Astyanax mexicanus: one gene and its partners. The protein of the gene in region 2 purifies or fractionates together with the protein of the main gene of each other region. This does not show direct contact. Links are inferred from orthologs where the notes say so. Each region holds a gene or a part of one and is shown on either strand. Other genes may lie near its edges.

Evidence for each region. The genes of interacting proteins can lie anywhere in the genome.
Region 1: the proteins of plk1 (region 2) and farp2 purify together in Homo sapiens (affinity purification with mass spectrometry; 3 studies listed by BioGRID and IntAct, with this or other methods). This does not show direct contact. The link is inferred for Astyanax mexicanus from reciprocal best matches to the Homo sapiens genes PLK1 and FARP2.
Region 3: the proteins of plk1 (region 2) and arhgap5 purify together in Homo sapiens (affinity purification with mass spectrometry; 3 studies listed by BioGRID and IntAct, counting the BioPlex papers as one, with this or other methods). This does not show direct contact. The link is inferred for Astyanax mexicanus from reciprocal best matches to the Homo sapiens genes PLK1 and ARHGAP5.

Annotation. Positions count from the first base shown.
Region 1 is NC_064412.1:49,190,145-49,194,177, forward strand, and holds the start of farp2 (FERM, ARHGEF and pleckstrin domain-containing protein 2), read right to left. Parts: upstream 2,718-4,033; 5' UTR 2,628-2,717; intron 1-2,627. UniProt on the Homo sapiens protein: Functions as a guanine nucleotide exchange factor that activates RAC1. May have relatively low activity. Plays a role in the response to class 3 semaphorins and remodeling of the actin cytoskeleton.
Region 2 is NC_064428.1:16,135,244-16,139,276, reverse strand, and holds the start of plk1 (serine/threonine-protein kinase PLK1), read left to right. Parts: upstream 1-1,322; 5' UTR 1,323-1,652; coding exon 1,653-2,015; intron 2,016-3,460; coding exon 3,461-3,629; intron 3,630-3,721; coding exon 3,722-3,866; intron 3,867-4,033. UniProt on the Homo sapiens protein: Serine/threonine-protein kinase that performs several important functions throughout M phase of the cell cycle, including the regulation of centrosome maturation and spindle assembly, the removal of cohesins from chromosome arms, the inactivation of anaphase-promoting complex/cyclosome (APC/C) inhibitors, and the regulation of mitotic exit and cytokinesis.
Region 3 is NC_064421.1:48,490,258-48,494,290, forward strand, and holds the start of arhgap5 (rho GTPase-activating protein 5), read right to left. Parts: upstream 2,530-4,033; 5' UTR 2,268-2,529; intron 1-2,267. UniProt on the Homo sapiens protein: GTPase-activating protein for Rho family members.

The DNA of each region.
Region 1 (4,033 bases), on a different chromosome or scaffold from region 2:
CTAAAGCCTGAGCCACATCAGCGTATGAAGTCCCACAGGTCTGTATACTGAGCTCAGTCCCGGTTCTGCAGTCTGTACAGTGTGTTGTGTTGGAGCTGATGGGTTTGAGGAGCTGAGTTTGGGGTAGGCAGCAGAGTGCCAAACGCTCACCACAAATATGCTGTGATGGAAATCATTAGAGCTGCGTCGAGAATAGAACATAATCCACCACATCGCTCTGAGTTTACTGCACTACAGTTCTTTATACTTTCAAATCAGCACTGTATAGTGGAATATTTTGTGTGTTTAAACTGAGATGTAAACACCAGGGTGATGGTCTGCATGTGTGCAGAGAATAAAAGGAAACAGAACCATCAGTATCTGATCAGTTGGGATCTCTATAGAAAATGTACATTAAATGGATAAACGTAATGACCCATCTGCTCCCAATATTCTTAAAAAGAGTATTAAATAGAGTTGAGTTTATCCTGCTTTTGTTGGAGTAATTGTCGAGGGAAGGCTTAATTCTAGATTTGAGGCATCATAGTTGTGAGGATTTGATTGCCTTGAGCAATGAGGTAAGCATACATGAGGTCAGGATGCTTAATGACCTCCACTGCACCCCATTCCCAACAACCCAGCTCATCCTATCCAGAGATAGGATTATGGTCTCAGAAATGATTGTTTATTAATTGTAAAGAGAATATTCTATAATATGTATACAAATAAATGGTTAAATACCCAACATAAATAAACATGTAAAAATAGTTTGAGGTTATGTTCATATACTGCACAATATATCGATAATATAATTATTGTGGCAGGCCTACCTGGCATTAGGCATGGTGTTCTGTTTCTAATACATCTTTTCTGATGTATCCGTTATTGCAAGATTGGTTTAAAATGTTGGTAAAATTCATTTATACGTTCACATTTTTTGGGGTCATGTACATGTATGTTTGTTTGATAAATCATAAATCGATAAAATAAATATGATGACAGGCCTACTTCTTCTTTACATGGCCCAAACAAGCTACAGTATCTCATGTCTCCAGACCTAAACCCTATTGAGCATCTGTGGGGCATCCTCATATGGAAGGCAGAGGAGCACAATGTCTTTAAGTCCACAATCTTTGTGATTTTTAATGGATTTTAAAGTGGAAAAGGATTTCAGTGGCAACATGTGAAGCTCTAGTGAACTCCATGACAAAGAGTGTTAAGGCAGTGCTGGAAAATAACAGTGGCCACACAAAATATTCACATTTTGTGCACAATATTCACTTCGGTTCATTTTCATTTAGGGGTGTACCCACTATTGGTTCCAGCTGTTTAGACATTAATGTGGTAGACATTAATTTAGACAGTGTGGTGAGGTATTTTGAGGGCACTGAAAATTTACTCTATTGTACAATAGGGGTGGGCGATATGGCTCTAAGATAATATCACAATATTTCAAAGTGTTTTTGCGATAGCGATATACTTGGCGATATAGGAAAACTAAAATAATTCATTTATTTTAGGAATATAGTATAATAGTATAACAGTATAATCATAATGTGGCAACGTAAATAATATAGCATAAAATAATATAATGCAGCAAAAAATACTGCAGAATATTTAGTGCATGCATATAAACTGCAAACTAAAACAATTATACAATAAATAAACCTAAAGCTTCACAGTAAATAATAGACTACTTTTAAGACAGAACAGCCCTATTATCACGATATGGATTTTTAATGTCATGATATTTCTGTGTCACGATATAATATTGCCCACCCCTAGTACTCAGTACACTGACTACTTTACATTGTATCAAAGTGTCATCTTTAGCTGTGTTCCATTAAAAGATATAATAAAAATAGTTACCAAAAATGTGGGAGGTGTACTCACTTTTGTGAGATACTGTATGTGTGAGTGAATTTGCACATATGTGTCAGCAATAGGTGCTAACATGCATTCATTAGAAATAATGTGTCCATAAACATTTAGACACTAGACACTATTATTGCAAATAAGAATACATTCTTAATGACTGGCCTGGTTAAATTAAAGGTTAAATAATAAAACTATTAATTAAATAAATAAATAAATAAATAATAGTTAAATATGTACAAATAACATATACTGCATAGTTATACGGCTAGTGGAGACAAAACCACTGACTAGCCTTACTGTGAGGAAACTTCACCAAACCAATACCCCTATTCAGAACACAAATCTGATTTACTTTACACACACACACACACACACACACACACACACACACACACACACACACACACACACAAACACACACACAAACACAAAGCAAGAGAAAACTAAAAGAATTGGACACGAACCACATAAACAATTATTTTAAGCAAATAATTCCCATCCTAAAGCTATATTCTCTCCTCCACAAACACATTAATCCAGTTTTTCTATTATAATCTCTGAACTGCATCGTTCTTATGATAATTAGTTTTAATGTGTTTCCCAGCTCTGCACCACAAAGTTACGGGCTCGAGCTCCTCCACAAAAACACGCGAGATTTCAATCAGCGATCATAAACTACGCTGTTAAAGATCTAAACTCAGCTCAAATCACTTTAAACGCATTAAATAATAAACAAATAATACGGTTTTTAAAGTTTAAACAGCTTTTACCTTTCCTCTCGCCGTCCTGCTGTGTTTCTCCAGCTCCTCGACTGCGGCTGCAGAGAGACGCACACACTGCCGCTCTCTGATTGGACGGTGGCGGGCAGATCTCGTCCCCTATTGGCTGAGAGTCTCATAAAGGCGTTTGTCCTGCATTGGGCAACAGGTCATTCCCCTCTGAATTCTGATTGGCTGAGGGATATTTTAAATCAGTGCGATCATTGGATATAGCTGACGATTGTTTTTGTGCTCTATTTGAGTTTAATTAAAAGGAGAAATTGTGAGTTAAATGTATTATTTAATTATATAAAATACATAAATACAATATGAAGAAAAACGTTTCTCTATATATAAATTATTGTAAAGTTAATAAATTATTGATTTCTATTTTAGTTATTTATTTTTATCTATATAATATTTTTATTATTATTTATTCTGATGGATATTTTATTTCACTTTTTATAATAGTAAAATAGTAACCTTTTTAAATTGAGTGCACCTTAGGACACCTTCCTTATACAATTATTTAACAATCAATAAGTTATTCAGGAAACGCAAAAAAAACATTTTAACATTTAAAAAATGTCGAATTTCTAATATTGTCAAGCATTCTAGCTAGCTTTATAGATTTTAAAGTCAGCTATTTTGATACTAAAATGCAGAAATATAATAAAACTTAATAATAAGACTAAACAACTATGCAATATTTATTATATTTATAGCCTGTAGCCTTTACTAATAAAAAGTAAACTATGTATTATAATGTAGATCTTATAACTTATCAAATGGGGACGAGCCCTGAATCGTGGAAATTAGTTCAGTAAAGGTAGCTCCATCCTGGAAAGCTATTAAAATTGCTATTAAACATCACATTTTAATTTGATTTAGGCATAATAAATAATAATCACACTTTTGACATAGGCCATTATCCTAAAGGGGTTGAATCAACTGAGGGTGTAGGAGATTTTACCATAGGTGGACTACATTATGAGGAGATGATTTAGACAAAAAGTCAATTTTGCAAAAAAAAAAAAAAAAGACTTGCCGATTATTTTAGGATGGTGCTGTATCGCTGATGTAGATCAACAAATTTGACAAATTTAAATTAGTTGTTGTGTTTTTTAGCTTTCATTTTCTTCCATGAGGGTCCCCGCTCAATGTAAACAAACTTAAAAAAAGAATGATGATAATGAAGTTGCACATACACACCACACACTTTATCGAGCCCCTGTAGAGACAAATGGCAAACATGAACCTTTTGGCATAATGATTAAAGCCAGGAATTAACCCTCTAGTATGCCAAAAGTCATGGAACACAAGTTTGTGAGTCTTCTATGGTGTATTCCCGCTACACATGTGACACTGTGGATGGTGGAATGTTAAATTCCTGCACTTCAAACTTCAGAAATGGAACG
Region 2 (4,033 bases):
TGGCTGGGTGTATTCTGCCAAAACTTCAGTATTAAGATATCAGCAAGGTCAAGAAGTGCACTTGCAAGATTATATCTGTCCCCTCTTGTCCTGGTGACCCCCTCCTTCAAACACTTCCCTCTTGTAGAAGATTAAGAGCTATCAAAGCTAGCACAAATGCCGCTAACATGTCATCAACTGTAGAAAAAGACCTGGCAACTCTCTCTTTTTCATGCACAGTTTACAGCTTAAGTTAATGTATTATTTTCTTCTGAATATTTGTTAATAGCATGTGTATCTGTTCGTTCTGGACTGGGTTTTCCTACAGTGTAAGTAAGTAAGTAAGAACACAGATTATTCCTAACTCTCTCTCTCTCTCTCTCTCTCTAAGATTAACCTAATCCTGAGGTTCTGTTTAGACGACAGTATGGCACACATCATCATTCCATGCATGTGATTTCAAGAATATAATAATAATAATTTTATTATTCTAAAAATTTTAAATGGCCATTTATGTACATAAATGTAAAATTATAAATATTACTTTTTTCTTCTTTTTGTTTTGCTATTGATTATGGTCTATTTATCTTTAAGTAAACAAAACTAATCTTTAAAAAATTATCAATAATTAAAAAAAAGTTAAAAGTTATTTTATTGTATCAATAAATATTGTATGGTTTATGTGTTATACTGTGTTCTTATTATGTCTGTTTATTCATTGACAGACAAAAGTTACAACCAAAATATGTTACAAATACAGCACACGTTTTCAAAAAACTATATATATATATACATATACATTTTAATAATAACACATTTTAAATGTGTAATATTTAAATATATATAACTGAACAGACATAAAAGTGAAAATCATAGTTGTCAATTTCATTTCATGGATAAAATATTTTTTTTCCAATTTAAATGAATAGATAAAACAAGTAGCAAGTATCCTTACTGCAGTCATTATAATAAAATAAAATACAAAATGGACAATAAAATTATATATTTTATAGTGTTTAGTTTTGACCCATATCCTAAATGGGATCATTTCTAAAAATATTTGAATGGACACAGTTAAAGAATACTATATGATGTTTAACACATATATACAAAACCTTATTTTAATGAATGTAAACAACTGTTAGCTTTCGAGCCCTGAGGACTTTAATATACGACACATTTTAAAGCAGCACATCTCCCATGATCCTTTGCCGCTATCGCCTGGATTTCAAATCGCGAGAGCCAATCACAGGCGGGTCCGTGGCCACAGCCAATCAGAGGCGGTGCTCCGGCGAGAGCCAATCAGAGGCGGCGATAACGAATAAGGGCCGAATTTAAAAATGTTGTGTTGGTGCTGCGCTGAGAGACGCTGAGCGGGGACGGGGGTTGTAGAGAGAAGAAGCGGACAGGCGGACAATTTAGCGAGTTTCTGTTTAAAATACCCCGCTTACATTAACAGAAACTGGTGTACCCGAGTGGATTTGTGCTGGCTTGTGTGTTAAACCGGTTCAGGCGCGCTTAGTTCGGTTAGTTTTTATTCGAATTGCTCGGCCGGGCGGCTCGCCCTGTCTGTCCGGGTCTGAACTCGCTGTTTTCTGTTAGCAGTGTCGCAGAGATCCGTGTTTTGTTCGTGTTTCTCTTTAAATTAGCGTTATTTTGAGAGCGTATTCAGTATGAGCGCTGCAGTGGCGAAGGCGCCGAAGCCTTCGGTCAACGTAGACCCGAAGTCTGCGCCCCTGAAAGAGATCCCAGACATCCTGGTGGATCCGCGGACCATGAAGCGCTACATGCGGGGCCGGTTCCTCGGGAAAGGCGGCTTCGCTAAGTGCTACGAGATCACAGACATGGAGACGAAGGAGGTGTTCGCCGGTAAAGTGGTGCCCAAGTCTCTGCTGATGAAGCCGCACCAGAAGGAGAAGATGAGCACGGAGATCGCGATCCACAAGAGCCTCGACAACCCGCACGTCGTGGGCTTTCACGGCTTCTTCGAGGACGACGACTTCGTGTTCGTGGTGCTGGAGATCTGCAGGAGGAGGGTGAGTTATCCTCGCTTAGTTTAGCTGAGTGGGAGTAAAATATAAAGTGATTTTTTAAAGCTTTAGAAACACGTAATAACTGAGGCTAGCTTCACTAGCAAACTGGCTAATCTATCAAACCTAGCTTAAGTTAGCTGTCTCTCAGTCCTCACCAACGGTCGAATTCCTCAGTGAGGGTTAGTTAGCATTAGCCGGTTAGCTAACTGTTTGTTAGCTCTGAGAGGTGTGAAACCTCACTACTGTAAAGTTTAAATGTCATGAATATTATAACAGTGAGAAATTGGTGTCTGTAAGTGGGGTTAAAGTGTTTGTGGGTGTTTTTAAGAACCGTTTTGACCGGCTGTATCCGAGCCTCCTTTCCGAGATGTGGATTTTAAATGTGAGGATGTGACGTCAGAACCTCGACCGAGATGTTTGAAAATTTTCGTGAACTTTTTTTTCGCCCGTCAAAATCGTTAAATATAGTAAATAATGCTCAAGTTTCCACTTGAGAAGTATTTATAATACAGCATATTATAAATGCTATATGAAATACTTTTGTCTTGTTGGTGTTTCCTGCTGGTGTTTTCTCCTTTTTATTAGCTAACTTATCTGTTCTTCCTATTTATTATGTTTTTAACTAACCTAGATATATTGAGTTATATATATTTGCTGTTGTGGTGGAGTCGAAGTTGAACTTTAAGTCGCATTGTAATTTAGTAAAATGTAAAAAAAAATCACCATCTTTGTGCAGGGATTGTATGGTCATGAAAAACCTGGAAAAAACTTAAATATCAGTTTCCAGACCTAAATTAGTTTTGGAATACTAAAGAGAATTTTGAAAGTCATGGTCTACAAATCTGTTTCCATTTATGTATGGAGTATCTATTTCGAGCTAAGAAATGCCTCAGCTCAAAGTTTTTTTAAGTAATTTAGCCCTACACAGTAGAGCTTTTTGATTTTTTTTTTTGTTATTATAGTTTTGTAATTGTATTTTCTTTAGATGCATGTAAAAATACATTTAGGCTGTGTAACTCATGCAGTGGTAGGGTATTTTTTAAATAAAGTGTTTAGTTTTTACAGTAATGCATTTATGAACGTTTCCAGTTTTGCTGTAGATGCAGCAACTGGCTGGGGCACAGCCTTGACCTATTAGACACTTTTGACATGTTTAATTTCTTTTTTCTTTTAGAAACATGGAGAGAAATGACATTAGGTTATTTTATTTTTGCAGTTTGAAGGTGTAAAACATAGTTTTGTCAATTTCCATATCCCCTAAAGCTGCAAGTTTGTAACACGACAAGTTTTATTGTCAGGATTATATTTATCTTTAAGTAAGCAAAAACGTTAACACTATCAACAAGCTTTTTGTAATAGCCCTACAGCAGTGTCCCTATGCTGCTTCTTTGCTGATAATTATTTTATTATTTTAATATTTTTTTCCCCTTCCATTGTTCTTCTGTTAGTCTCTTCTGGAGCTGCACAAGCGCAGGAAGGCAGTGACTGAGCCTGAAGCAAGGTACTTCATGCGGCAGACAATCCAGGGAGTTCACTACTTGCACAACAACAGAGTTATTCATCGTGATCTTAAACTTGGAAATCTTTTTCTTAGCGATGATATGGAGGTGAAGATTGGTAAGCAGGCAAATTTGCTCACAACTTTTTGCCTAAAGTACAGTTCGACTTTACTCGTTACTTTATCCTATAACGCTTTGTTCTCTCCCAAGGTGATTTTGGTCTGGCCACTAAGATTGAATTTGATGGTGAGCGGAAGAAGACCCTGTGTGGCACTCCAAACTACATAGCCCCTGAGGTGCTGTGTAAAAAAGGGCACAGTTTTGAAGTTGATGTCTGGTCACTGGGTTGCATTCTGTAAGTCTGCTTCAGAATTTCTTGTGTTTTTACATTTTAAAAATGTTTATTGAACACTTTTTTTTTATATCCCAACATTTGTATGTACAAACAAAGCATATTGTTTCTCAGCATTGCTATTCTCATCATAAACTTGCATCATATCTGCAATTTTTAGGTTGTGCATG
Region 3 (4,033 bases), on a different chromosome or scaffold from region 2:
TGTGTGGCGCACTAATGTTGTTGCCAAGATAGCAATGGGCGTCTGACTGTTGATTGTAGTCAGGGTTCTAAACAAAGATATGGCGCAAAACATTGGGGTATAATATTGTTCAAAAAAATTTTAAACGTTTGCGTTTTTAAAAATCATTGTGTACACTATGATATGGCACACCCCTAGTTCAAGATATAAGCAATTACAGGTGACAGATTTATTTACTGGATAGAGGCAGAATAGGATCAGATAGAATTGTAGATTTAAAAAAAAGTAATTCATGCAAAAGTTTACTGAAAAAATTACATAATGTGAAAAATGTGAGACAATGGCATCATCAGTGCAGTGTCTTCTGAACACAATTGAAGCAAAGAAAGCATGATTATTATTCAGTAAAGAGGCACCAGAGTGGGCAGAAAAGGTGACCACATTCAGCTAAAGAAAAGGCAATACTCTGCTGTATTGGCTGATGTACATATGCTTTGAATCAGTTAGCTTGTATCCCTAGGTTTAAAAAACGATGCCTGGATTTTAGACAAAACATGCTGTTCTGAGGGTTTTTAGACTCAGTCCTGAATAAAGCCAAGCCACGGTTTAGTGTTTCAGGGTGTGTTGGGCTGCAGAGGCAACATTAAATGGTGCAGCACAGTGACCTCCAGTGAAGAGCACTGGATTAATGGGAGCAATATCACAGGAGAGGCAGAGAAACACACCTATTTGATAACAGTCATAAAACCACTACAGGAGACTCTGTGAGATGTTTCCTCGATGACTACACTATTATAGTTATTGTCATAAAAACCAGGAGGACCTGTAAGTTAGCTTAGTTAATCATTTAGGATGGAGCGTGTTGCAATACTCAATAGTCAAAACTGAAACCTCTGCTAATTAGCTAGCATTAGCTAACTAAATACAACTCTCTACTTAGCTGTATTGATCCATTTTTGTAGTGCTTGTAAATCTTTGGGTCTATGGCTACATTTTCTATGTAACTTTATGTATGGCTGAGTGTTTCTATAACATAATTTAGCCAATAAATTAATTCACAATTCAGAATTTAAGGTATTTCTTGATCATTATATATCTATATTTTATTTTTTCCTTTCTTACTTTTTGAAATAAAACCTTTTTTGTATCACTTGCCCTCTAATGCGCATCAATGTGGTATTAGGAGTCTTGCCCAAGGAACTGAACCTCAATCTCCCACATTATGTGGTAGCTCACAATCAGGCGGTGGTATTATTCTCTGCGCTACACCAACCACCCACAAGATGTTGGTTATGAAATGTGTTTACAAGTAATATAATTAGTTCTACAGATCTATAAAGTCATTCTAACGAGTCATATTAGAATGACAAGCTATCTAACTAGCTACCAATTGAGTTTTATTACACTATCAGACCTCAAATAAGGCAAAGAAAACAAGTTCATATTCATAAAGTTTTAAGAGTTTATAAATCAATATTTGGTGGAATAACCCTGGTTTTTAATCACAGCTTTTTTCATGCATCTTGGCATCATGTAACGTTACTCCTCCACCAGTCTTACACACTGCTTTTGGATAACTTTATGCTGCTTTACTCCTGGTGCAAAAATTCAAGCAGTTCAGTTTGGTGGTTTGATGGTTTGTGATCATCCATCTTCCTCTTGATTATATTCCAGAGGTTTTTAATTTGGTAAAAAAAAATTTAAGTGGTCTCTCATTTTTTTTCCAGAGCTGTACTTTGTGAAACACCACACCTCCGACCAGATAGATGGGCTTTAACTCACTCGTTTAGGACACTTATATTTCGTTAAGGACGGAGATGGATATTTAAAAAATAAATATTATATTTTAAAATTTGTTTTTAGCTTGGTAGCTAGCTAATTAGTTGTTTGTTAAAGCTGGATACTGGAATATGGAGCTAACTAACTTACATCCTAGATACAGGCCTTTAGCCTGGACAACGCTTCCTCTGTGTGTGTGTGTGTGTGTGTGTGTGTGTGTGTGTGTGTGTGTGTGTGTGTGTGTGTGTTAGCTCCCTAGCTAACCCAACGCTAGCCGTCCAGCTAACCTAACATAGCTAACCTAGCGCTAGCCGCCTGGCTAAGTGTCCCTGCGCTGAGTATATTAGCTAGGCTAGTTAGCTTGCAGGCTAATAAAGAGAATCTGAGGTAAAATCAGCCAGAAACACAGAAATCCCGCGGTTTCGGTACTCCTCCGAACTCGAACGGCCCAAATCAGAGAGAAACACAGTGGGAAAAGTCACGACACTCCTCCAAACGCATTCCCCTACCTAACATGGTCGCTCCCAGCTCCCACAGGCTCCACACAGAGGAGGAGGCATTCCCGATATTCCCGCTCTCTCCCCTCAGAGCCGCCCGGGAAAAGATCTCCGGATACTCCGAGTGTTCAGGCGAAGAGAACAATCCGCGATAGTGCCGTTAAAAACTGTGTTTTAACCGATTTTTACAGGATCTGGTGAAGCTGTGTGTGTAATCCGAGCCCGACTCCCTCCCCTCTCATTCCAGTCGGTAATGGCGACGGATAGATCCGGCTCTCTCTCTCTCTCTCCCTCCCTCACCCACTCTCTCCCTCTCTCTCTCTCCCTCACTCTCCCACTCTCTCCCTCTCTCTCTCTCCCTCACTCTCCCACTCTCTCCCTCTTACTCATCCACACACACTCTCTCCCTCTCTCCCTTTCCCTTTCCCTAATTCTCTCTCTCTTTTTTTCCCACAATAACTCTCTCTGTTTCTCTTTTCCCTAAATCGCTCTCTCTTTTTCCCACTCTCTCTCTTTCTCTTTTCCCTAATTCTCTTTCTTTTTTCCTAATTCTCTCTCTTTTTTCCACCATACTCTCTCTCTTTTTCTATCTCTTTCTCTTTTCCCTAATTCTCTTTTTTCCCTATACTCTCTCTCTCTCTCTCTCTCTCTCACAGTAAGTTTTTAATCTGTGTATCATTTGTTCATTTGATTTTTTTAATAGAAAAAAAAACGTTTTTGAATATAATACCAAAAACAAATAGCGCTTGTATTTGTCTTATTCAGATTTCCGTTCCACCTTAAATGTAACATACAAACAGTCATCCCTTATTTCCTATATTCACAACTGGTATTTACTGTGTGTTTTTTTGGTCACAAAAACTAAGATAAAATGTAGGGGGAAGTCCCGCTAAGTAACGTTTCCCGATAGCGGGAACACTATATTATCTATTTGTAACACTAGAGCATTAATAATCAGCAGGTTAGAAATGTAGATAACTGATGGCAATCACAGCAGCCCTTTAACAGATCATGAGTGGAAAATTCTCCTTTTCCTCCCTCCATGCTCTCTTTCATAAACTGCAGCCCAAGCAGTTAGAACTACATTATTTCCCTCAAAATACTACGATCTCGTATCTCAACTTGTATTTAGGCTAAATGTTGCCCTACAGCATAATGCAGCCTCATTTCAATTGCATACTATTCCCAATAAATGTATCCTTTGGCTTAAATATTGTAATCACTTACATATGTATATATTAGCATTGTATTCACATTTATAAAGTTTTATTTTACGCCTTCATGTCGTGTCATATTTTACAGCATATTCTCATCCAGTAAAAAGTAAAATTTGATATCTAAGTAACTATGTACATAGTCTAATTTATGTACAGTATATTACTAACTCTGCTGTAAACTAAATGCACTGTAATCAGACTGCTCATTTCTTTTTCACTGATATCAGTATGAAGGAACACACCGTATTGTTCCATTGTTCACTGAAGAGTTTTTTTTTTTAAGCACAGTGCTATTTGTTTAGTGAGAAACTGTCTGTTTGTGAAATAGTACATTTGCAGACTATACTAACCTATTTGTTTCTTTTATTGTTTTGTAAAACATATTTTACTATATTTGTCCTTGGAAGTCCTATTGTCCCACAGGCCTGTTTGAGTGTGGGCTCAGCTGTCTCTCCGCAATTCAAATGCAATACAAAACACCCCAAGAAGAGCAGGCCGCCCCGTCCTGTTTACACTGTCCTTTTCTGTTCATAACTTTCAATCTGACCCTGAGACTCCAGC